Macaca mulatta: one gene and its partners. The protein of the gene in region 1 purifies or fractionates together with the protein of each later gene. This does not show direct contact. Links are inferred from orthologs where the notes say so. Each region holds a gene or a part of one and is shown in the gene's direction. Other genes may lie near its edges. The genes, in order: STK24, CTTNBP2NL, PPP2CB, SIKE1, SLMAP, CTTNBP2 and PPP2R1B.

Region 1 (4,269 bases):
TGTGTCAGATCCAGGGCATCCTGCGAAACTGATGTTCGTGGATGGAATACAATGACACCTCGGAAAAGAAATACTCCTTACTTTGGTGGAGGCCTTTAAACTTTTGGGGGCTCATTTTGTCTGCCTAACTCGCCCAGCCAGGGTGCAAAATGGCCACTTAGGAGCATGAATGAGGTACCAGCGTCCCTATAATCTAAGGGGCAGGGAGTCATCACTGGGGTGGCTGCCGCTCTACTGTTTGCGACTGTAATAAAACACTTCCTGGAGGCCGAGGGACCCGCTCCATCCTGACTTTTCCCCTCAGTAGCTAGAGAGAAGGCAGCTGAAAAGAGGAGACAGAACTGGTGCTGAGTGGGCCTGGAGCTTCCCAGGAAAAGGAAAGAGACGGAGAGGGCTGCAGTTCAAAGTCCAGATGCGCTTTCCTTCCATTCTCTTCCCTTCCTCCCTGCCCTCTGCACTCCATTTTCCCCTTTTCGTGGGTGGGTGCTCCTGACTTGCTGCGGACTCCAGAGATGGTGGGGTTCAGCCTCCTCACTGCTTAGCTAAGTTCCCAGCCCAGCAGCCCCAGCGGGGCTGTTTTCGGTAACCAAAGCGCTAGGAATCAACCTCTCTCTCGGCCTCTCCCCTTTCGGTTTCCTTCTTGGGTTGGCTGGAAACTTCACCCAGACACCGAAGCAGCTCTGCCCGGCCTTTTGGCACAGGCCACCGGCCGAGGCCCCGCGGGGCGCTCTCCCTCCCCAGGTGCCCCTGGACCCTGACCCTGCCCTCTGGGGCTCGCCCGGAGCCCGTTTCCCCATGGATCGCCGGGGCGGAGTGGGCTGGCTGGCGTGAAGAGGGGGCCACGGCCCAGCTCTCCCCGGCGCCGGCCCGGTGGGCGCACGGCCAGCCTCCGGCCCCGACTCGGTCCCTCCCAGCGCCCGCCCCAGCCGAGGCCCCCTCCCGGCCCAGCCGCCCGCCCGCCCGCGGGGGCGTGGGAGCGCCGCGGGAGCAGCTGGGACCCGGGCCGGGCCGGCAGGCGGCGGCGGCGGCTGCGGCCTAGGGCTCGCGCGCGGCCACCGGCCTCTCCCCTCCCCCTCCCGGAAGCGCGGGGCGGGGTCCCCGGCCGGGCCGCGGGGGCGGGCGCGGGGGCCGGGCCGGGACGGGACGCGCTTGGCGCTCGCGGGCTCGGCGGGCTGTGCGCGCCCACTCCCGCTCCAGCGGCCAGCGCGCGCGGGCCCAGGCCGCCCGGCTCCAGCCCAGCAGCAGCGGCGGCGGCGGCAGTTCGCGCGAGGCCCCGCGCCCCCAGCAGCTCCTCCCCCGCGCCGTGCATGGAGACGCGGCCCGCCACCCGCAGCTGAGCCCCCGCCGCCCGGCCGGGACCCGCCGGGGCTGGGGTGGCCTCGGGCTCCGGCCGCCCCGCCGCCCGAGGGTTGCGCGCGGCCCGCGGGCCTCGCCGCCCCGCGCGGATCGCCGCGGCCCGGCCGTCCCGTGCCAGGAAGTAGCCGTCCTGAGCGCCATGGCTCACTCCCCGGTGCAGTCGGGCCTGCCCGGCATGCAGGTAGGCGGGCGCGGGCCGCGGGGCCGGGATGCGCGACCGGGGCGGAAGCGGCAACTTGGCGGTGTCCACACGGCGCCCCCCTACGCCCAGCTGGCCGGGGTCGCGCCAGAGCCTGGCTCCCCGCGCGCCCAGCTCGGCCGGGGGTCCGAGTCGGAGCCCCTGATGTCCCTGCCGGCTCTGGCGGCCGAGGTCTCCGGCGTGTGCTTGCAGGAGCCGTAGGGACCGCGGCCTGGGTCCGGATGTGGGGGTGCGGGCGCCTCGTCCTACGCGCTCCCCTCGCCCCAACACTCCTCCGGAGCTGCAGGCCCTGGGTGGCCTCCTCCCCGGGAGAAGTGAGGTGGAGGGATGCCCTTGGAGGCCCCCGCCGGGTCCCTGGGCCCTGCGTGCGGGCCGGGTTGGCGGCGGCCCCCAGGACGCGCCCCCCCAGGCTCGTCCCCCACCCCCGGGCGGGCGGGCGGGAGACCTGGGCAGGGCGGGGACGGGGAGCGCGCCTGGACTCGTCCGGGCCCGAGCGGAGTAGGCAGGGCGGAGTGGAGGAAGGTGTAACCGCGAGTTCCACTTGGAGTGGCCTTGCACCTGCGGACTGGGGGGAAGTGCGAGCTGCAGACCTTTTGGAAGGAGGAATCCCTCGCACAGCCGCACACCAGGGTCCCGGGCCTTTCACTTTGAGACTTGGTTGCATTTACAGGAGTTCTTCGCCCAGTAAACCTCTCCTTCGGTACTTGGTGACATCTTGGCCTACCAGCGACTTTTTGAGGGATGGGGGAGGAGTTGAATTTCAAATTTACATGTATAAGTTAAAGGTTTTTTGTTGTTTTTGTTGCCATTGGGGACTGCTTTTAGCCCTTTGAAAAACAAAACCACCGTCCTTGGCTAACTCTTGTAAAGTTTGTAGGCGCAGAAATGGTGGCAAAATGCTTAGGATTGAAATCTTAGGATACAATTAGGATATGTCAGGAAAGTTTGCTCTCCCAGTCTAGCTGAGTGAACGTTAAGTGTTCGAAGAAAACCAGAAGCATCCAAGTAGATTACCGGTTGACTTATAGATACCAACAGGCTCATTCCCTGTGTGTTGAGGGCTGAGAAGCACAGTGCCCAGACCTGGGACTGCCTCTGGAGTCTGCCCGCGTTTTCCAGTGAGATCATCCCTCTCCCTTCTTTTTTTGAAACCATAAAAAGAAAACTGGATTTCACTGTTCACGTTTGAATTCTGGAAATATAAGAACTCAAAGTTACCGCTTTAATGGCAGCTAGAATTTTACTCCAACTGTGTATTATAAGCAGTATATATATGTGTGTATATAAATGTTTAAGCAGTAAATAAATATATATATTTAAGCAGTAACAGTATCTTAAGAGTGACTGGGAAGATGCTTGAAGAATATTCTTTTGTCGACTCTCGTTTAAGGAGCGTTGAATTTAGCATGCATTCAAAACCTAAACTTCTGCTGACTGCTGGGTAACAATCAGATGTGGTTTCTTGGTATTTCCTAAAGCCGCTTTGGTATGAATTTAGAGGTGTGTAGGTCAGAGTGAACTGGGTGAAAAAACGAATTTCTTACCAGTCGAGCAAGAAGGACTCTTGTAATGATTTTTAAAAAAACTTTTATCAATATTTCCTTTAGGTTGACATTTATACCGTGTGCATCAGGTTGGAGTCTAGCACAAATGCCTCACTTACTAGGTTAATTGGCCTTTGTGGATAGCCAATCAGTTTGAAAAGGTACTAAAGCCCCTTTGGCTGGTGCTGTGAAGTCAGTATCAGATGGTTACCAGGTGATACCTAGTATCTCACCTTTTCATTTTTGTCCTTTTTTTTTTTTTTTGAGTGGATCAGAGTTCTTAAATCTTGGGAAAAGAGGATACATTTCCTTAATAACTTTGCCTCTCAACTGTTACGTATCTGTTAGATTGTGTTACATGGGAACTGTTTTTGTTTTCTCAGTATGAAAGATGGTAAGTGTTTCTCAGGAGAAAAGATGATCAGATTTTCAGCTGTTAACAGTTTTACAGTTTTAGAGGTAGGAAAGTTGGCTTCTGCCAGTCATTCCTGTACCTAAGTACATCTACAGACTGTATGGTAACAAAGTGTATCATTTGGGGAAGAACATTCTTTTCTCCTTCCCCATCCCCCAAAAGAAAAACAACAAGCACATTTATTTTCTACTTCAAATTAGCAGTTGCTGCTGCCCTGGGAGGCTTCCCTAAGAGTTGTTGCTGAAGATTCAATTAAAAGCACACCCGCTTTCAACTGTTGTCTGCTAAATGGGAGGAGAGAAGTCCATATCTTCTATGGCTTGCCCTGATAGGCCTCATAGCCCCCCCTTTTTCTTGTCTCCTGACCAGGGCTTATAAGGAGTTGGCTTAGAAAGACAGCAGAGTCTGTAATCCAGCACTTTGAGAGGCCGGAGCGGGCGGATCATGAGGTCAGGAGATTGAGACCATCCTTGCTAACAAGGTGAAACCCTGTTTCTACTAAAAATCAAAAAAATTAGCTGGGCGTGGTGGCACAGGCCTGTAGTCCCAGCTGCTCAGGAGGCTGAAGCAGGAGAATCGCTTGAACCCGGAGGTTGCATTGAGCTGAGATCATGCCATTGAACCTCAGCCTGGGCGACAGAGCCAGACACCATCTCAAAAAAAAAAAAAAAAAAAAAGGCAGAGTGAATTTAGGTGGCCTAGGCAAGGATGCTTGAAAAATAACAACCATGTTAGTATAAACACCATTCTTCCGT
Region 2 (3,500 bases), on another chromosome or scaffold:
TCATGTTTCCAGTATACAAATACCATCCAAATACTCCAGTAATGTCATAAAGTAAGATGGCTGTAGTCGAGCCAGAAGTAAAACCCCGAACTTCTAACTGCTTTGAATATTTGCCAGCTAATAACAACATAAAATTTTACCATAAGGCTAAGTGATTCCTGGGGCCTAAATTGAACAGTCAATGAAGAAGTCTTCAGATTTTCAGCACTGAAATACTTCTGTGTTAAAGAAACCCCATGTTTGCATTATTTTCTTAAAGATTCTTTTAAATTAAAGCATAGCCATTGAATTGCAACCTTCCGTTTCTTTTTAAACAGGCTCCTATTTGTGGATGGCGGTGCTAACATAACTACTGATTAAACAGTTTTTAAAAATGGATAAATAATAGTAGTTTTCATGAATAGATTTAATTTGAAAGCTTAAATTACATAGTACTTTGCTGTAATTTTTTAGTTTCTTCAACCCTGTTAACACTTCATTTTTCATTGCAAAATATCTCAAGAAACTTTTAAATATCTGTGTAATAAGTAAAAAGTAATGTGCGTGTAATATGTGATGCTCATATGAAGTTCTTCAAGGTCTTGCTACAGAGATAAGGAAAGAGGGAAGGAAGCCTAGGAATATCTTTCCACCCACCTCCTGATCCTTATACTTCCAACTGGGTACCCAGGGCTAAAGCCCTTGACCAGACTCCAAGCACCACCTTGCATCCCCTTCTTACATGCACATCCCCAAGGCTCATCAAGCCTTGAAAGAGACAGAAAAGAGAATGGAAAGTAACAACCAAACAGAGACAAGAAGAGGGGGTGGAATTTGGCAGCAGGTGGAAGAGATTTTGTGTGCATTTCTGGTTGTGAGGTGCCTCCATCCTCCTTGACCCATCAACAACTGAGTAATGGTTCATATGTACAGATCACAAGTCATCCTAGATTGTCATGTGATCCTACTTATATTTTGCACACTTTATATATCTGCTGGCATTTTGTTAGGTCTCTAAATATATAAACTCATAAAATTGTCGTGCTTAACATATTTTAGGAATGCTAGTGCCATAACATGGGAAAAAAATAACATGTATCTGCTGGTAATATAAGCATTCATAAGCAGATACAAGCAGAGGCAGTAAGCACAGAGGTTAAGGACACAGATTTTGGAGCCGGGCTGCCTGGGTTTAAATGCCAATTCAGACAACTTGCTAGATGAGTAACCAGGAATAGTTTTCTCATCAGCAAAATCGAGATGATAGCACTACCTTACAGGGTTGTACATTTTAAATGAGTTAATATGACTATAAATATTTAGAACAATATCTAATACCCAGTGCTTTATAAGTATTTGTTCTTGTTAATATACCATGCCACCTTTCTAATGCTGTTTCTTTAGATGGCTCAATCTGACTTGTAATTAGCAGGTTACATTTATACTAATACCACAACCTTTAATGTATAACCACTGGATAGCAAATACCCCCTTCTCAGTAGTTTTAAAAAACAAGATGCTTATTTTTTTTTCCTCTTTCCCAGGCCCAACACAGAGATACTTTCATTGAAGAACGCTATGGAAAATATAACATCAGTGATCCTTTAATGGCTCTACAGAGAGATTTTGAAACACTGAAGGAGAAAAATGATGGCGAAAAGCAGCCAGTCTGCACAAACCCACTCTCTATTCTTAAGGTGGTGATGAAGCAGTGCAAGAACATGCAGGAGCGCATGCTGTCCCAGCTGGCTGCCGCTGAGAGCAGGCACCGAAAGGTAGGTTCCCCTCAGTTGATGTGTAAATCTTTGTGAAGTCTTGATAAATTATGCCTGATACTTTCTTGTCAGCTGCCAGTTTTTCACAGTAATTCAATTGGGCATCTCGCGGGTATCAAAAAACCGCTTAGTTTATGTAAGAGTCAGGAGATAGAAAAGAAAACACAGCTTATTCCAAGTGTTAAGTTTAGAGAATGTGCCAGACACATTATTTAAGACGGCATTCCTTCTTGATATATCACTCCAAAACACTTTGTATGTTTTTTCAGTTCTTGATCATTCAAACTTTGGGGTTTGGCCAAGCTTGTAGCTGAAGGGAGTGTTCTCTATTTGCTTACTTAAGAGATAAATAAAAAGATTAACAGGTATTTGAGGCATGCTATATCCAAGGGAGAGAAAGAATTTACCTGAGGATAAACACAGAAGCCAATAGATTATTTTCATTTATTCCTGTTATTCCTAGTTTTGAGTTTCATTGCATTTTGTTGCTCATGAAACCATAAATAGTCCCTAGGTTTATTTACCTTAAAGGTGTTCTACTCTATTAGTGAAGTGTTGTGTGTGTGTTTCCATATTTAACGAGCCCTAAATTAGGAAGACAAACCTTACAGTTATTTACCTTATTTACCTTAAAGCTGTTCTACCCTATTAGAAAAGAGTGTGTGTGTTTCCATATTTAACAAGCCCTACATTAGGAAGACAAACCTTACAGTTATTTACATTACTTACCTTAAAGCTGTTCTACCCTATCAGTAAAGAGTGTGTGTGTGTGTTTCCATTTCTAACAAGCCCTAAGAAGGCAAACCAGTGCTTTCCTCTGCTTCATCTTACTGGAATTCTAGTGCTTGTGAATTTATTCACCAACTTGTCATCTTGTCATTTACTGCTCAAATTTGGCCTGTAAAAGATGCTTGGCTACAATCTTCATTTTTAAAACACTATCAGTTTAGATTTATGCCAACAAGGCAGTTATCAGTGCATTTGGTAGGAAACATTTTCATCTGAAAAACTGGGTTAGCAGCTGCAAAATTTGGTGGACCTTACTTTTCTGGTTACCAGTATTAGAGCCATCTGCTTAAATTGCATCTGATAAATTTTCTAGGCTCTGGGTCTCGCACGTGATCTTTTCTTTCCCTTCACAGACGCCAAATGAAAGGCCAGAGTGGAACTTCTTAACCATGTGGATAGGCCTCAGATGTTCCACAATCCCCCAGAAAATAGAATGTTCAGAGTTTATGTATTTTTGTAGGAAATGTATTTTTTCCATAGCTTTAATTAGATTCTCCAAGTTACCAGTTACCCAAGACCCAAAAAAGTTTTAACCTCTGATTAGAATGAAGTAATCTGAAAACATTTACACTCCAATTTAAAAGGTTATCAATGGGTGGGAGTTAGTTGCCTAAATTTGGGGCGGGGGGCGGCTTTTACATAATCCTCTAAAAAATCTTCACAACATTCTTGTTTAATAGGCAGGCTTTATTTCCACTTCATCCATGAGGTGACTGAGTTGTGTTGAAGCTAGTTGGGCTAGCTTTCATGCCCATGGAAGGTGTACTATGGACAGTTTGTGGCTCTAGGTGATTGGAGAGAGGAAGAAGTTAAAAATAATTCAAAATTTCTTAATACTATATTGCAGTGCTAAATGTTTTAAGTACTAAATTTTTGAAACGAAGTACCAACGTTTTTTTTTTCTTTTTTTGAGATGAAGTCTTACTCTGTCACCTAGGCTGGAATGCAGTGGTGCAG
Region 3 (3,500 bases), on another chromosome or scaffold:
TCAAAGTTTCTTCTTCATCAGTGCTCTGGACTCTGTGTATTTCCATATTCGATTTCCCCCACGAGGTTACTCTGTCCCTGATTTCTTACCTTTCTGCCAAGACTCAGCTCAGGTCTCACTTCTTTCATGTAACCTTCAACCATTTTAGCCTTATTCCTTCTACTCTAAATTACTATGAGGAAACTTATTCTCCCAGCCCTTATTTATGCTGCAAAAGTGGCTTACTGCCTTGTATTACTTACTTTACATATCTCCTTACTGAGGTTAGTCCCTCAGCAGCAGAAGCCATATATTACACAGTCATGGGTCACTTAACTACAGGCATACATTCTGAGAAATGTGCCATTAGGTGATTTTGTCATCTTTGGAACTTACACAAACCTAGGTGGTATAGCCTACTGCACACAAAGGCTATGTGGTATAGTCTCTTGCTCCAGCCAACATCATACATGTAATCTGTTGTTAACAAAAACGTTGCCCAGCACATGACTGTACTTGTGTAGACCTGGCATCTGGCTTTCTAGCACCAAACTTACGTTAGACACATAACGGATGCTTAGTAAAATCTGTATGAACTGAAGTAGATTCTTGCAGCTTTTTGCGTAATTTGCAGAATCCAATGCTTTTTCATATTTCTTATCAGACACATTGCTAACTAAATAGTCGCTTATGTTTTTGTTTTGTAATAGAAAGGAAACTATTAATACATTTGAATTCTTGCCCAGTTTTGTCAAGGGCCTGTTTTTGTGTTATTATTGGCAAATCCGATCTTCCTGTGGGAAATAAAAATGGAAAAGGGAAGAAGTTAATCTGTAGAGTAGTTGATCTCAGCTTCAAACCTGTGATTTGCACTACTCACAGTAAGAAGTCATAGTGTTCTAGAAAGATTTAGGAAAGTAATAATAATTTGATGATGAAAAAGATAATAGAAACAAAGTATCAGATACAAGTCTATTATAGTAATATAAGTATTAGTCAAAGGTTCTGATGAGGGTGGTCAAAACATGATGAAAAAGGATGATTATAATAAACATGTCAAATGTTAACCAGTAATACCTGGTTATGAATAAGCAAGATTTTTTATTTCGAAAATGAAATTAACATTTAATATACTGGTGGCCAAAAGCGCCGTGTTTAACAATGGGTCGGAGACTAATGTACTTCACATGACACTAGTAAAAATGGGATTTTACTATGGGTTTTACTCCATTTCTTCCAGGTGCGTTATCCAGAACGCATTACAATATTGAGAGGAAATCACGAAAGCCGACAAATTACCCAAGTATATGGCTTTTATGATGAATGTCTGCGAAAGTATGGGAATGCCAACGTTTGGAAATATTTTACAGATCTTTTTGATTATCTTCCACTTACAGCTTTAGTAGATGGACAGGTATGTATGTGTGTGCTCACATCTTGGGAGGAGGGGAGGTAAATGAAGGCAAAGATTGACTATTGGTAAGCTAGGGTCTAGATTCATATGACCTGTGTTTCTGCATCTCCTTGGCCTTTTCCTCCTTCCCTTATACTTTTTTTTTTTTTTTTTTTTGAGACGGAGTCTCGCTCTGTCGCCCAGGCTGGAGTGCAGTGGCGCGATCTCGGCTCACTGCAAGCTCCGCCTCCCGGGTTCACGCCATTCTCCTGCCTCAGCCTCCCGAGTAGCTGGGACTACAGGCGCCCACAACCGCGCCCGGCTAATTTTTTGTTTTTTTTTTTTTTAGTAGAGACGGGGTTTCACCGTGGTCTCGATCTCCTGACCTTGTGATCCGCCCGCCTTGGCCTCCCAAAGTGCTGGGATTACAGGCGTGAGCCACCGCGCCCGGCCCCTTCCCTTATACTTAAAATTTCAAAGCAGGGAAGTGGATAAGTTTCACGTACATTTGGACCAGCAAATTTTCCTGTTCTCAGATATGTATGTAAATCTTTTGACCAAAGAATATGCTGTGCTTTTTAAGATATCGATAAACATTATAAATAAATGCTTAAGACACTGATGTGTAGTACTAGTAAAGCAAGATGTTATTTAAAACTATCTCTGCGTATACACACAGTTTTTGCTGGTTACCATGAATAACTTCGCATTTCTATTTTCATGGTAATTGCAAATGTTATATTGTGTATTACACCTTCTTCCCTGAGAAGTGAATGCTTGGCTGGGCACAGTGGCTAGTACTTTGGGATGCCAAGGCAAGAGGATCGCTTGAGTTCAGGGGTTCAAGACCAGCCTGGGCAATGTAGTGAGACCCTGTCTCTACAAAAAAAAATTTAAAATTAGCTAGGCATAGTGGCGCATGCTTGTGGTTCTAGCTACTCAAGAAGCTAGAGGTGAGAGGATCTCTTGAGCCCAGGAAGTTAAGGCTGCAGTGAGCCGTGATCACAGTACTGTGCTCCAGCCTGGGCAGCAGCAAAACTCCATCTCAAAGAACAAAAAAAGAAAATAGAAGCAAATGCTATTTCTGCAGTGCAGACAGATCATGAAACATTCAAAAGTATAAGAAGAAATTATGCAAATTTCCTATTTCAATTTCTAGAGATAATCACTGAAAGCATGAACTGATTTAAATTTAAATATAAAACAAAGGCTGGGCAAGGTGGCTCATACCTATAATCCCAGCACTTTGGGAGGCCGAGGTGGGTAGATCACCTGAGGTTGGGAGTTCAAGACCAGCCTGGCCAAATGGTGAAACCCGTCTCTACTAAAAATACAAAAATTAGCCAGGGATGGTAGTGCATGCCTGTAGTCCCAGCTACTTGAGAGGCTGAGGCAGGAGAATCACTTGAACCTGAGAAAGACAGAGGTGGCAGTGAACCGAGATCGTATCACAGCACTCCAGCTTGGGTGACAAAGTGAGACTCCATCTCAAAAAATAAAATAAATATAAATATAAAACATATAATAAAACTCCATAATTCTTAAATTATAAAAGCCCAGAGTTGTCAAGAATGTGATGAATTCTCTCTTAGACTGCTTGTGGGAATATAATTTGGTTATAACTTTCTCTGTGTAATCCTGACAGTCTTTTTTTCTCAGCTGTGATTTTGGACACTGCCATGATTAATTTGAAAGGACAATACTTTGCCTGGACTTGTTAAAAGAAAATGTGAATTTAAAAGATGTTAAATTTTAATTAAAGTTGTTTTTAATTGTTTTGAAGCACACAGTCCTCAATAATAAAATTGCTGGACAGAATGATTTTTAAAAGACAGTCTTATCAGTTTTAATGAAGTATCTGGTTTTTTAAATGGGTGCGTTAGTAGAGCTTTTATTTTTTTTTTCCTTCCTCCTTCCTCTCTTTCTGAAAAGTTACTAGAAAAGAAATAATAGTGGACAATACTGATCTAGAAGAAAAGAGGGAAGGCACATAAAACACTAGGAATGAAATAAGGCGTAATTATAACTGTGCAGGAGCTTGTGTATCACAAGAACAGGTGCAGCTTTAGTGCACTAAATTTAAAAAGTTGAATGAAGCTTACTATATTAAAATACCAGTTATTAAAAT
Region 4 (2,584 bases), on another chromosome or scaffold:
AGGTACCTGCCCAGAGTCTAGTGGAAGGGATAATCCTAGTATCATATGATATTAAATAGTATGTAAATGCTAGGAGACAGATACAAATACTGAAGATTCATCGACCACAGGCTCTAATCTCTTAGTTACTCTAGCTGGGACTTCCGCACATCTTGGTGAAGCTAAAAATGCTTTGGTTTACCAGAATTTTCTGCAGAGAATAAGGATGAAGAGCGGAAGCTACTCTCTCTAGAAATCAAAGGTAGTGACAGGTCCCAAGGAGGAATTAGGAGCTAGTGAAATGATAGCATGACCTTCTATTTATCCTCGATTTACCTCACTTATGGAAACAGCCCTAAGGAAATGTGGGACAAATTCTACCTTAATACTTCAAGTAGAAAAAACATGACCACTAGATTCAGACCCCAGTAATACCACATCCAAGTTGTCTGAATTTGGACAACTTTTAGGAATTTTGTGAGCCAGAGCATCCTCATGAAATATATGGATGTAGGCAATGATACCTACCCTACAGATTATTGTGAGATAGCATATACAGGGCACCCAAGTAGTACCCAGCTACATGCTCAATAAGTAATTTCTTTCCCCCTTTCCTTCCATTTCTCTGGAACTATAAGATATCCAGGAGAGGAGATTAATCAGAGTGAAACGATTATTAGGAATTTTTTAAATAAAAGAAATAATAGTAAAACTGTGGGAACCATGAAGAATAAAACATAGTGAATTCCTCAAATGGAGAGGGACCCTGTTTTTTGTTTCTCCTTTGTAATTGTAACACTTGGTATATAGAAATTACTCAGTAAATTACTACTACAAAAGAGTATCATTGCCTACATCCTACATGTAAATGTTTGTTAAATGAATAAATAAGTAGTATTTAAGGAAATTCTCAACTAGTGGGTTTTTTGTTTCCTTAAAATTTTTTAAATTAAAAATAATGTTTTCTGCTCCTGGCTCAAAATAATGTGTTGTTGTAATGCAGCTTGACAGTAAATATACCAGAAATAAACATGCCTTTTTTTTTTCCAGCTTGAAAATAAGGAACTTCGAGAATTATTGTCCATTAGCAGTGAGTCTCTTCAAGCCAGAAAGGAAAACTCAATGGACACTGCTTCCCAAGCCATCAAATAACTGAACTCTGAATGATGGCTGGAGATTGTCTATCAAGGAAGGAAGTTACTATCTTCCCATTCAAGTACTGTCCATTAAGTGTCTTGCCTCAGATTTGATTTAATCTTAATTAAAGGTATCAGGTGGCAATTTAGAATTCCAGTCAATAATGGCTGTCCACGGTTCTCAGATGTGTTAATATGAATACATGCTGAATTTCACCATTCCTTTCTCAAAGAGACTACTTTTAATTTTCATTTCTGGGACTTTGATTTATATAAACTATGTTTCAGTTCATTGTTATTTTTCACATCTTTGAAACTTTGAGCATTTTTTTATAAGCCAGCAATTTTATTTTATATAGCATTGTAAAATACACTTCTAGGAAATTTTAGGAAAGATTTAACTTTTTAAATCTATTTGGCATAAACCCTGATTTTTTTTTTTTCCATTTGACAAAATAATACAATTCCACAGAACTAGGTCAGCAGATTCTCTGATTTGTAATGTCATTCACCTGTGAAGTTTTAAGTCTCTCTGGTGCTAAGAATTGGCACTTTATAGCCTGGTGCCTTTACTTTTAATTTGAGAGAACCTACTGCTAGTCCCAGGAAACGTACTTGGAAATAAGTCAGCTATTTTTTTCCCCAGTGATACTATAGTTGTCGTATTGTTCAAAGTTCATACTGTTCAAAGCTGAGGAGCTTGTCCTGTGTATGCGCATGCACACGTGCACTTAGTTCAAATACTAAAAGTAGCTTTTATTAAATATAATCAGCCAAAAAAACACAAAAAATCAAAAAACCAAATATAAGTAGTCAGTTTTTCAATGTTATCGTATTAGTTCTATATTCTATTTTAATTTTTATACAATTTCCATTTTATAATCAAGAACCATCACTTACTTGGATTGGATGTCTTTCAGTCCTAGCACTAATAGGTAGTTGGCTTGCTTTTTTTTTTTTTTTTTTTTTTTTACATAGAAGCAGTTGTGTTTTTTGGTTTTTTTTGGTTTTTTTTGTCTTTTTTCTGTTTTTTTTAAGCTATATAAAAAGGTGAGGAAGCAGTTTTGTTACCTAATGAAAATTATTACACTCATAATGCTGTGTAGGCAACATTGAGATTCAAATGCTCAGTGGTCAGCTGGGTTCACTCATCAACTCATTCCCATCTCAGTTTACTCACATTTCAAATTTATAAATTCTTCGTGTTATACTATTCTATTTAGATTTGCCCAGAATTAATTGAAATAATGCTAAACCTGTCAATAGTTTCCAGTAACATTAAGCACCATACTGCATGGGAGAGACACAGTATTAAAAAGAGTTGTTAGTGCTTTATGTGATATATTTCTTTTGTAATGCTATAAAGAACTACAGTTAAAACAAAATCTTTCAAAGATGTCCTAAAAGCATCTGATCCCAGTAATAACTAATGGATGTCATCTAGAGCAGTGGGTGTTAATGAATAGGTA
Region 5 (4,184 bases), on another chromosome or scaffold:
TACTGTTTGTTTAGAAAACCTTCTACCGCGCAAATTGTTCTTTCCCTTAACCAAAATGGTCGTTAAGGTTGTCCCGAGGTTTGAAGCTTCCAGCCCTTAACTAAGATGGCGCCTGGAGGCCTGTTAAAAATTAGCTTGCCCTTTTTTCTGCCCTCTACCAACACGGCTTCCGTGGCTTCGTTCACGTGACATTCCTGGACTACGGCGCGGGAGAGGGGGTAGGAGGGCCCTTGAAGGGTGCGCGTTCCCGTGGCGGTGCACCGGGTAGGTTTCAGTCAGAGTCACTATGGCGGCCGGCGCTGGCAAGGTAAGCTGAGGCGGCGGTGGCGGCTAAGGAGGTAGCACCCGTCGTGGCGTCCTGGCTCCAAATCTTCGCAGCCTCCTTGCGGAGAGGTCGGCGGAGGTAGTGCCTAGCGGTGGGGGCTGGCGGGGGTCTGGCTGGAGGAGCCGAGGGCTGAGGCTGGCGGGCTGAGGCGCCTGACGGCCGTTTGTTTTGATATTTTCCCCACCAGGTCGGAAAGTTTCCTGCCTCGTCGGGCGCAGCTTGAGCTTGCCCCATCGGCCGCGATCGGTGGAGGCTGCGGCGGACCCAGCCCGGGGCCTCCAGGCCTCTCCCCAACCTCCGGGCCAGTCTCCCTCCCCCACCTTCTCGTCCGCCGGGAGCTGCGGCTGCCGTCCCTGAGATGCGACCCTCGCGGGGGCGACCCTGAGGGGAGGCGGCCCATGTGCTGAGCGGCGGACAGGAGCCCAGGCGTCCGGGGACCAACTTCCTGCCGCCTGGGAACCCGCGCCTCCCGGTGTCGCGCCTCGCTCGGTCAGCACCGGCCTGCGGAGCCGGGTCCCCGCCCTGGTCGCGGGGACGCTCACCAGGTGCCCGGGAGTCCCGACTCGGCTACTGCCCGCGCCCTGCCGGCCTCCACGCCTCGCGCGGAGGACCTCAGCCACCGCCGCCTCGGATCGTGCCAGGCCGGGGACCGCGTCCCCCTTCCCGGGGCGGCCTCCGCGCAGCAGGGGCGATGCAGACTGTCCCGCCGGCCGTCTAGAGCCTCTACACTGCGGGCAAGGACGGGCGGTGACTGCCCAGAGGTGCCCGGCCACACCTTCCTTCGGCCCAAAAGGACTTTCCTGGCCGCGCCGAACCGACCCTTCCTTCATGCTGCAGTGCTGCAACGTTTCCGCCACCGAGGGGGAAAAGCGGCCGCGATCTCAAACCAAACACAAGAATTGGCGTGTGACTCATCTGCTTGGATACCTCCAGTCCCCAAACTGTGTTCCAGGAGTTTTCTTGGCGGAAGCTGCCCGATGTTTGAGCCTTTTCTTCCCAGAGAAGAAGATGGACTGAAAGCTGCCAGTTGGGGACTTTTTGTGATCAGGGCGCTGCTGGGTTTTAGAGGAGGTGATGGGGCTTGCGCTGGCTTGTCTTCCCACCCAAGTGAAGAGTTGATGTTCACTGGTTATGCTTAGACAATGTGCAGTTTGTGTTAATTTAAAATTTTGGGTGGGATAGGGGGATAGGCTTGTGAAGGGCAGTCCGGATCCAGAGGAACTCCTCTTTGTTCCTGGTAGGAGAGACACCCCCAGTCTATCCTCGATGCCGTCAGCCTTGGCCATCTTCACTTGCCGCCCGAACTCGCACCCGTTTCAGGAGCGTCATGTCTACCTGGACGAGCCCATCAAAATCGGCCGCTCAGTGGCCCGCTGTCGACCAGCGCAGAATAATGCCACTTTTGATTGCAAAGTGCTGTCAAGGAACCACGCTCTCGTCTGGTTTGATCACAAGACGGGCAAGGTAATGTCACCACGTTGTCCAGCGGCATTGTTTAACAAACTTGTTTCCCCCGCTTTGCCCTTTCTGAGAGGCCTAATGTATGCAGGATCCCAGGGTTTGCATCCAGAAGAGGCTTTGCGCAAAGCCACGAAACAACTGTTTGGGTGCCTGGTTCTAGTGGAAATTTGATTGAGGTGGTTGAATGGAAAACAGAGAAGGTATTGTAATTAAAAGCCTCAGGAAGTCTATGGCATCTTGATAACGGGGTCATTCCCAGTGAAATACCAAACTAGATAGTGAAACTTGGCGTCTTGCTTTCAGTCTGCTTGGAAAGGTGAATTCACAGTTCAGCGCTTTATTAAGCAAGCAGGAGTTGTCAGAGCAATTCGGGGAATCTGTGGCCATTATTATCCCAGGGCTCAAGTGTCTTAGTAGTGAAATGTAGTTAACACATAGCTTTAGGTGAGTTCAGATCAGGACCTTTCTAGTAAGGACAATTGCTGGTATAAACCTAAGATTTTTGAAAGGTTTGATACATACTTGCTCTTGAAGGAATAATTTGCAATAATCAAAGCTAATTTAATTAAGCATGAACAATTGTAACTTTATATATTTTCAGAGTGTTTTTTACAAGTTGGAGAACATACACATACTGCGTTTGAAAATCACTTTTTGATGTTCCCTGCAGCACTTATTAAGTACTTAGTGCATTCTTACAGAGGTGCTATTCAAAAGTTAGTGTTAGGAAATAAACTTATTTTCTGAAATTATACCCTATTCTGTCAATTATAGCATTACTTAAATGTGATGGGATGAATTCAGTGCTTTTCATTTTAAGCGTAATCAATTTAGTATTTTTATGTTAGTATCGTAAGTTACTATACACGTATGTGCTTTTAAGAAATGAAAGAAATTAAGATCCTTTCCATTTTTAAAAACTGTTTATTTATGTTTATGGATAGTATACTAAAGAGCTCATCTTTGTGCCTAAACCTCAGGTTTTTAGCTGAGCTACTGAATCAGTTCCAACTTTAAGTTATGTAAGACTAATAGGACTGTCTCAGGTTTCACCTCCTGACTTTTTGCCCCTTCTTTCTGAGTTAAATAATTAAATCTTTCTTAAAGGAAGAACTTAAGTCTTCAAGAATATGTTTTGAAATGAAAGAAACCTGAGCCTTAAAAGGAAGAGAAAAAAATGATACTTCGGCAGCTACTGATTTAAGGAATTATTTTGTAAATTATTTTTTGAAGAAAGGAGGAAAAGATTGTCCAAGTGCTGTGTGCTGCATAATATCTATACTTTATTCTACGTGTAGGAGTGTAGGATGAGAACTGAAGAATATGTTAACTTTTCTGTATAACACCAGATCGTCATTTACCTGTGGAGCAGACCCTTCCTCCCTACCCCCAAGCTGAACGTAGGGTGCCTAATTTTTTTTGAGACAGATTTTTGCTCTTGTCACCCAGGCTGGAGTGCAGTGGTGCTATCTCAGCTCACTGCAACCTCTGCCTCCCAGGTTCAAGTGATTCTCCTGCCTCAGCCTCCCAAGTAACTGGGATTACAGGTACATGCCACCACGCCCGGCTACTTTTGTATTTTTAATAGAGACAGGGTTTCACCGTGTTGGCCAGGCGGTCTCGAACTCCTGACCTCAGTTGATTCGCCTGCCTCAGCCTCCCAAAGTGCTGGGATTACAGGCGTGAGCCACCGCACCTGGCCCTCATAATTCTTTAAAATGAATATTCATAGAGCTCATTTTTCCAGCAGTTCAATTTAAATATCAGTTTACTACTAAGTAGTGCCTTAACTCAACCAGCTTTTACATTTTTGCCATTTTATGTTCTTGGGCAACAGGTCTAAACTAATTAGACAACAGGTTTGCTCACGGTACATACTCTGCAAACGCACTTTGATTAAACACTCAAAGGGAACTCTCATTTTTTGTTTTACTTATTTGAAAAATACTGATTTCATGCACAGTGCTTTCCATGGCCGTAATAAAACTCTCACAATAGGTTATTTTGAGATAACTAAGAATAGATCAATAGTGACTGTTTCATGAATTGAGATGACATGTTAATATTTGTTCTTTTTTTTTTTTTGAGATGAAGTCCTACTCTGTTACTCAGGCTAGAGTGCAGTGGCGCAACCTCAGTTCACTGCAACCTCTGCCTCCTGGGTTCAAGCAATTCTCGTGTCTTAGCCTCCTGGGTAGCTGGAATTACAGGCACGTACCATCATGCCCGGCTAATTTTTGTATTCTTAGTAGATACTGGGTTTCACCACGTTGGCCAGGGTGGTCTTGAATGCCTGACCTCAAGTGATCCACCCTCCTCGGCCTCCCAAAGTGCGGCCAACGTGCCTGGCCATGAAATTTGTTCTTCAGAAAAACTTATCTTTGAAGGGTAGATATGG
Region 6 (2,244 bases), on another chromosome or scaffold:
TGGGCAAAAAGAGACATTGACCAGGTAATCACAGGAGTTCTGAAACACTAGAGAAAGGAGATACATGCAGCTTCCAAGTATGGAAGATCTTGAGCAACCTAATCATAGATGAATGTAGGCTCTGCTAGGGAAGGGATGTTTCTCTTATGTTTTCTGCTCTATGCCCCCAGATTATTTGATTATTGAGTAATAGGTCACTTTTAGGACATGAAAGTAGAAGGCAGAAAAGTTAGGTAACTTACCCAAGGTGACAGTCTGCAGAGCTACCTACAAATTGGACTACTCCAATTTGGTGATTTCCTCATGCCTGTAATTTTGTGAAGTTTCTGCTGGTAAGGAGAGCGATGCCTTCGCACTTGATTCACTGACTCCTATATTTAGGAATTTTGTAACACCAGACGGGGACTAATGAAAATCATGCAGTAAATCTATAGGAAATTAATTACTCAGCTTCTCCTCTCCATTTTCTTTTGATTTTTCATGAGAACCTATAGTTTTAGAAACTCCTGCGCATTTGCTCAAAGAGGAGGCAGGGGTAGGGCTCATAACAGGAGAAGTTGGTGACAATGGCAAATGTGATAAACTTGTGTGGTTTCTCGTCTCTTACAGGAGGTCAGTCCTCTCAGCAGCCATCAAACTACTGAATGCAGCAACAGTAAATCAAAGACTGAGTTGGGTGTTTCAAGAGTTAAATCTTTTCTTCCTGTTCCTAGAAGTAAAGTCACCCTGTGTTCCCAGAACACCAAAAGAAGCAGCAGCAGCAGTAATACAAGGCAAATAGAAATCAACAACAACTCAAAAGAAGAGAATTGGAACTTACACAAAAATGAACACCTAGACAAACCTAACAAATAGGCCTGCCTACAATATTCTCACTATTAACTTCCTCTGTTTCACACAGAAACCAAGGACAACAAGATATAAATACCTTTAAATGGATAAAATGTTTTCACTGTAATATAAGTTATGAGTGCGGGACCACTATTCAATTTTTTTTGTAAAGAATGTATTTATAACCAACATTTTGTTGCTTTTTTTTTTTTTTTAATTCTGTAGGATTGAACTTCGATACCAAGAAGTTATGCCAACTTTTCAAGTAGTTTTATAATAGAAAAAATTGTAATAGTTTTAATCAAGATGTTCAGGGGTATTAAAACAGAACTGTGTACTGTATATCTGTATATATGTATATATGTATGTATATTTAAGGAAGTCCACAAATCATACTACATACATGCTACAAAATGTATAACTTTGGCTTAGATAACATGTACCATTTTAAATGGAGATCATAATTTTATGTTCACTTGATGGGGAATGACTAGAATGGGGCAATAACAAATCATTTCTAAACAGTTATTTTCCATTAAAAGCCATATTAAGTATTTTGCTTGTTAAATTCTAGTTTTATGTTTTAAATCTCTTAGTAGTTACATTGCCATTTGGTAGCATCATGTATATATTTATGCTTATGAGTTTGCATTATGACTCCTGTAAAATATGAAATTATAATGCAATAAAAGTGTTATCTTTCTTACAAAAGTTTTGTACCTAAGTGGATATAAATAACTGCATAAATGAATAAATTAATTCAGAATTAACTCCTTCAATATTATTTCTAGTAGCACAACTGATAATAAAATTGATATTTTCTACAAGTGTTACTTCTAAAATTACAGACAAAATTACTTATACAACTCAGTTAAGATGCTTTGACACTGAATAAAATATTGATTTAGTGAAATCATTTTGCTGTACTTTTTATCTATAGCTCTTTGTAGTCTATGCAACAGATAATTTGTGTTCAATTTAGTAATGCTCATAAAACTTGCCTTCCATGTTAGTATTTCACTAGCTATTCACAAGATTCAACCCTATTAGAAATATCTTAAATACTTAAATGGAGCACCAGGAATTGGGTGCTCAGGGGTTAAAACATCTTCTTTTTCATAAATACCAAAGAAGTATGATTGTACCAGGAATCATTTACTTGTCCAAAGTCATTGAAAGCCTTTTTTTGGCCAGAATGGTTATTTACAATGAAGTATACATACCTGCATTGTATTGCTATTACAAAACGGCACATACCTTAAAAATAACAATGTAAAGATTATGTCACTGATCTTGAGAACAAAACTGAATGCTCTCAAAATCATAGATCATATCTACAGTCAGGTGGTTCTAATGTGTTTTTTTTCCTGCTCACATACACCTGCTTAAATTATATCTAATTTGATTTGTTAG
Region 7 (3,500 bases), on another chromosome or scaffold:
ACCTAGAATATATTCTTGAATTCTCTTTCCCTTGTTCCCCACATCTAATCCATTAGTAATTCCTATAGAGTCTACGTATATTTCAAATCAGTCCACTTTCTTCCATCCCTCTTATTACCAGCCTAGTCCAGACCATCATCTTTCCTCTAGATTGCTGTAGTAGCTTCCTAACAATGCTTTCCACTCTTGTCTCTCACCCGACCCTTACAGTTCACGTCACCCAGCAGATGGCTCACTCTCTGCCATAGCTCTTAGAAAATCCAAATTCTGTACCTTAGCTTATAAGGCTTTTTATGACCTGCCTCTGTAGGATTATCATATGCCCAGTGGTACTGCATGAGAAGAGGTCACAGTAGGCAGGGACAGAGCGCAAAAGGCCTTGATAATCTCTTACATTCACATTGGTCATCTTTCTGTTCTTTGAACTAACCTAGCTTATTATTCCCTTAAGACCTTTGCCCTAGGTCTTCCCTCTAATGAAAAGCTCTTTCAAGCTTTCTGTGCCTGGCTCCTTGTCATTCACGGATCTTCTTCAATGCATCTCCTCAGGGAGGTTTTCCCCAACCACTCAACTTGTAATAGCCTCGCAGTCATCCCTTAACACATCATCCTACTCCTTTTTTCTATAGAGTATTCATCACCGCTTACTTGTTTTCTTGATTGATTGTTGTCTTACTCCATTAGAATGTAAATGCCACTAGAGTGAGGAAGCTTGTCTGCTTTGTTTCTTCTGTGTCCGCAATGCTAGATACAACAATAATCATGTATTGAGAAAATGAATTTCAGAGGCTTGGAAGCATGAAACAGACTGGGTTCAAAACTGCTGGAGTGTGGCTGGGTGTGGTGGCTCACACCTGTAATCCTTGCCTTGGGAGGCCAAAGCAGCAGGAGGATCGCTTGAGGCCAGGAGTTCAAGACCAGCCTGGGCAACATAGTGAGACCCCAACTCTTAAAAAAAAAATAGCTGGGCATGGTGGCATGTGTCTGTAGTCCTAGCTACTTGGGAGGCTGAGGCAGAAGGACAAAGAGTCTGAGGCCGCACTGAACCATGATTGTGCCACTGCACTTAGCCTGGGCAACAGAGCAAGACCCTGTCTCTTAAAAAAAAAAAAGAACTGCTGGAATGTGAAGTGTTGAGGTTGGGTAGGCAGAGTGGTCATCAAGGGCCAGGCAGAGTTCAAATCAAGAGACCACTCTTAAGCAATTCTCAGGAGCATGGCCTCATCCTGTAGTAATGATAGCTATTATCCAGTGTTACTGCAGGAGAGGGGGTTACAGTAGGCAGGGGACAGATCATGAAATGCCTTGGCAAGTGAGAAACAGTATCTTTTTAATGGGCTTCTGAAATACCTTCTAGGAAAGCTGAATACTGTGTACCTGTGTGTATCAAACAATTTTAAAAATATATTATTAGACACACTTCTTTTTTTAACTCATTATGCTTCTGTTTCATTCTTGGTTAGTTCTATATGTGGGTTTTATGCTTTAAAAATCTGTAGCTCATGGCATGTGTAGAATCTACCTGGACTACATGCAAACTCAGTAAGGCAGAGGTTCAGAGAGCCAGCCTGTTTACACTTTTTACTAGGCCATGCCATATTCAGTTACTGCTCTTAATCCGGATCATCCACCCTGTTTGGCCTCTTCTATTTCTAAAGCTGTAAGCAAGGTGTCCTACCATCTCTGTACTTTTCTTTTCTTTTCTTTTCTTTTTTTTGAGACCAGAGTCTCACTCTGTCACCCAGGCTCAAGTGCAGTGGCACAATCTCAGCTCACTGCAACCTCCGCCTCCCGGGTTCAAGCGATTCTCATGCCTCAGCCTCCTGAGTAGCTGGGATTACAGGCATGTGCCACCATGTCTGGGTAATTTTTGTATTTTTTGGTAGAGACAGGGTTCCACCATGTTGGCCAGGCTGGTCTCGAACTCCTGACCTCAGTGATCTGCCCACCTCCGCCTCCCGAAGCCTGGGATTACAAGCGTGAGCCACCTTACCCGGCCAGTCTCTGTAGTTTTCACTTGATTGTTCTGTCAGAAACTCCTTCCTGCCCTATGGCTAATGGAAAGTTGCTGAATGTGTTCTGAAAAAAGCAATTTTGTACTCAGCATTTTGTAGGTTGGATAAAAGGATGGAATGGAGATGGTGGATAAGCGTTGCTTTCACCTCTGGGAGTGGTAGAATGATACTGAAAAGGCGGTGGACTCAGTGACGTGACAAGCTGTTATCCTGTATTTGTGGTGCCTAATGTTGGTCATATTTTTGTACTTACTCTTGAGGAAATATACAGGATCCTGTCTGAATTTGGCTCTGTATCTTTTAAACCTAGTGATTCAGCTCACAGTAATATTAATATTGTGTCAAGTCTCTTACACTGTGTCATTTGTAGACACCATCTGGGAATTGCCATCTGGGACACGAGATCTTGGCTTTTCTACAGGAGTCGTGTCTTCAGGTTGGCCGCACCATATGTTATCACTGTGTGAGCTGAAAGTAACCATTTGGTATGATGCAGCTAACATTCTGGTTACGTGTACCACCTCCCTTCAGTCACTTTAAAAGGTGATTATCTGTTTCTAATCTGATTCAATAAGTTTTCTTCTCTGGTTTTCCTTTTTAATCCATTCAGCCTCCTTTGGAAAATCTGGCAACTGTGGAAGAGACTGTTGTTCGTGACAAGGCTGTGGAGTCCCTGAGACAGATCTCCCAGGAGCATACTCCTGTTGCTCTGGAAGCTTATTTTGTACCTCTGGTGAAACGCCTAGCAAGTGGGGATTGGTTCACCTCTCGCACGTCTGCATGTGGTTTGTTCAGCGTTTGCTATCCCAGGGCATCAAATGCTGTTAAAGCAGAAATCAGACAGTAAGCTCTGGTGTTTTTTTGCTTTGTTAAAGCAGAAATCAGACAGTAAGCTATTAGTTATTTGGGATTACTGGGGACTTGTAGCTGACAGTTTACATAGTACATTGTAACCAATGAGTGGCTGATACTAGGATAGTAGGTTTTATGACATCTTTTTTTTTTTTTTTTTTTTTTAAGAGAGAAGGTCTTGCTCTGTTGCGCAGGCTGGAGTGCGGTGGCACAATCATAGCTCACTGCAACCTTGAACTCTTGTGCTTAAGTGATCCTCCAGCCTCAGCCTCCAGGTAGCTAGGACTGCCGACATACACCACTGCGTCTGGCTAATTTTTAAAAATTTTTTCTGGCTGGGTGCAGTGGCTGATGCTTGTAATCCCAGCACTTTGAGAGGATGAGGTGGGAGGATTGCCTGAGCTCAGGAGTTCAAGACTAGCTTGAGCAACATAGTGAGACCTTGTCTCGACTAAAAAGAAAAAAGAAATTAGCTGGGCATGGTGGGACCCGCCTGTATTCCTGCTACTCAGAAGGCTGAGGTGGGAGGTTCAGTTGAGCTCCCCACAACAAAAAAAAATATTTTTTGGGCCGGGCGCGGTGGCTCAAGCCTGTAATCCCAGCACTTTGGGAGGCCGAGTCGGGCGGATCACG

The links.
Region 2: the proteins of STK24 (region 1) and CTTNBP2NL purify together in Homo sapiens (affinity purification with mass spectrometry; 3 studies listed by BioGRID and IntAct, with this or other methods). This does not show direct contact. The link is inferred for Macaca mulatta from reciprocal best matches to the Homo sapiens genes STK24 and CTTNBP2NL.
Region 3: the proteins of STK24 (region 1) and PPP2CB purify together in Homo sapiens (affinity purification with mass spectrometry; 5 studies listed by BioGRID and IntAct, with this or other methods). This does not show direct contact. The link is inferred for Macaca mulatta from reciprocal best matches to the Homo sapiens genes STK24 and PPP2CB.
Region 4: the proteins of STK24 (region 1) and SIKE1 purify together in Homo sapiens (affinity purification with mass spectrometry; 4 studies listed by BioGRID and IntAct, with this or other methods). This does not show direct contact. The link is inferred for Macaca mulatta from reciprocal best matches to the Homo sapiens genes STK24 and SIKE1.
Region 5: the proteins of STK24 (region 1) and SLMAP purify together in Homo sapiens (affinity purification with mass spectrometry; 6 studies listed by BioGRID and IntAct, with this or other methods). This does not show direct contact. The link is inferred for Macaca mulatta from reciprocal best matches to the Homo sapiens genes STK24 and SLMAP.
Region 6: the proteins of STK24 (region 1) and CTTNBP2 purify together in Homo sapiens (affinity purification with mass spectrometry; 3 studies listed by BioGRID and IntAct, with this or other methods). This does not show direct contact. The link is inferred for Macaca mulatta from reciprocal best matches to the Homo sapiens genes STK24 and CTTNBP2.
Region 7: the proteins of STK24 (region 1) and PPP2R1B purify together in Homo sapiens (affinity purification with mass spectrometry; 3 studies listed by BioGRID and IntAct, with this or other methods). This does not show direct contact. The link is inferred for Macaca mulatta from reciprocal best matches to the Homo sapiens genes STK24 and PPP2R1B.

Annotation. Positions count from the first base shown.
Region 1 is NC_133422.1:93,280,086-93,284,354, reverse strand, and holds the start of STK24 (serine/threonine-protein kinase 24), read left to right. Parts: upstream 1-1,469; 5' UTR 1,470-1,495; coding exon 1,496-1,537; intron 1,538-4,269. UniProt on the Homo sapiens protein: Serine/threonine-protein kinase that acts on both serine and threonine residues and promotes apoptosis in response to stress stimuli and caspase activation.
Region 2 is NC_133406.1:127,818,946-127,822,445, reverse strand, and holds part of CTTNBP2NL (CTTNBP2 N-terminal-like protein), read left to right. Parts: intron 1-1,523; coding exon 1,524-1,754; intron 1,755-3,500. UniProt on the Homo sapiens protein: Regulates lamellipodial actin dynamics in a CTTN-dependent manner. Associates with core striatin-interacting phosphatase and kinase (STRIPAK) complex to form CTTNBP2NL-STRIPAK complexes.
Region 3 is NC_133413.1:32,584,232-32,587,731, reverse strand, and holds part of PPP2CB (serine/threonine-protein phosphatase 2A catalytic subunit beta isoform), read left to right. Parts: intron 1-1,219; coding exon 1,220-1,393; intron 1,394-3,500.
Region 4 is NC_133406.1:125,479,995-125,482,578, forward strand, and holds the end of SIKE1 (suppressor of IKBKE 1), read left to right. Parts: intron 1-1,029; coding exon 1,030-1,131; 3' UTR 1,132-2,084; downstream 2,085-2,584.
Region 5 is NC_133407.1:121,296,125-121,300,308, forward strand, and holds the start of SLMAP (sarcolemmal membrane-associated protein), read left to right. Parts: upstream 1-1,384; 5' UTR 1,385-1,591; coding exon 1,592-1,789; intron 1,790-4,184. UniProt on the Homo sapiens protein: Associates with the striatin-interacting phosphatase and kinase (STRIPAK) core complex, forming the extended (SIKE1:SLMAP)STRIPAK complex.
Region 6 is NC_133408.1:157,247,919-157,250,162, reverse strand, and holds the end of CTTNBP2 (cortactin-binding protein 2), read left to right. Parts: intron 1-609; coding exon 610-855; 3' UTR 856-1,744; downstream 1,745-2,244. UniProt on the Homo sapiens protein: Regulates the dendritic spine distribution of CTTN/cortactin in hippocampal neurons, and thus controls dendritic spinogenesis and dendritic spine maintenance.
Region 7 is NC_133419.1:112,503,252-112,506,751, reverse strand, and holds part of PPP2R1B (serine/threonine-protein phosphatase 2A 65 kDa regulatory subunit A beta isoform), read left to right. Parts: intron 1-2,625; coding exon 2,626-2,858; exon of another isoform or gene 2,859-2,903; intron 2,904-3,500. UniProt on the Homo sapiens protein: The PR65 subunit of protein phosphatase 2A serves as a scaffolding molecule to coordinate the assembly of the catalytic subunit and a variable regulatory B subunit.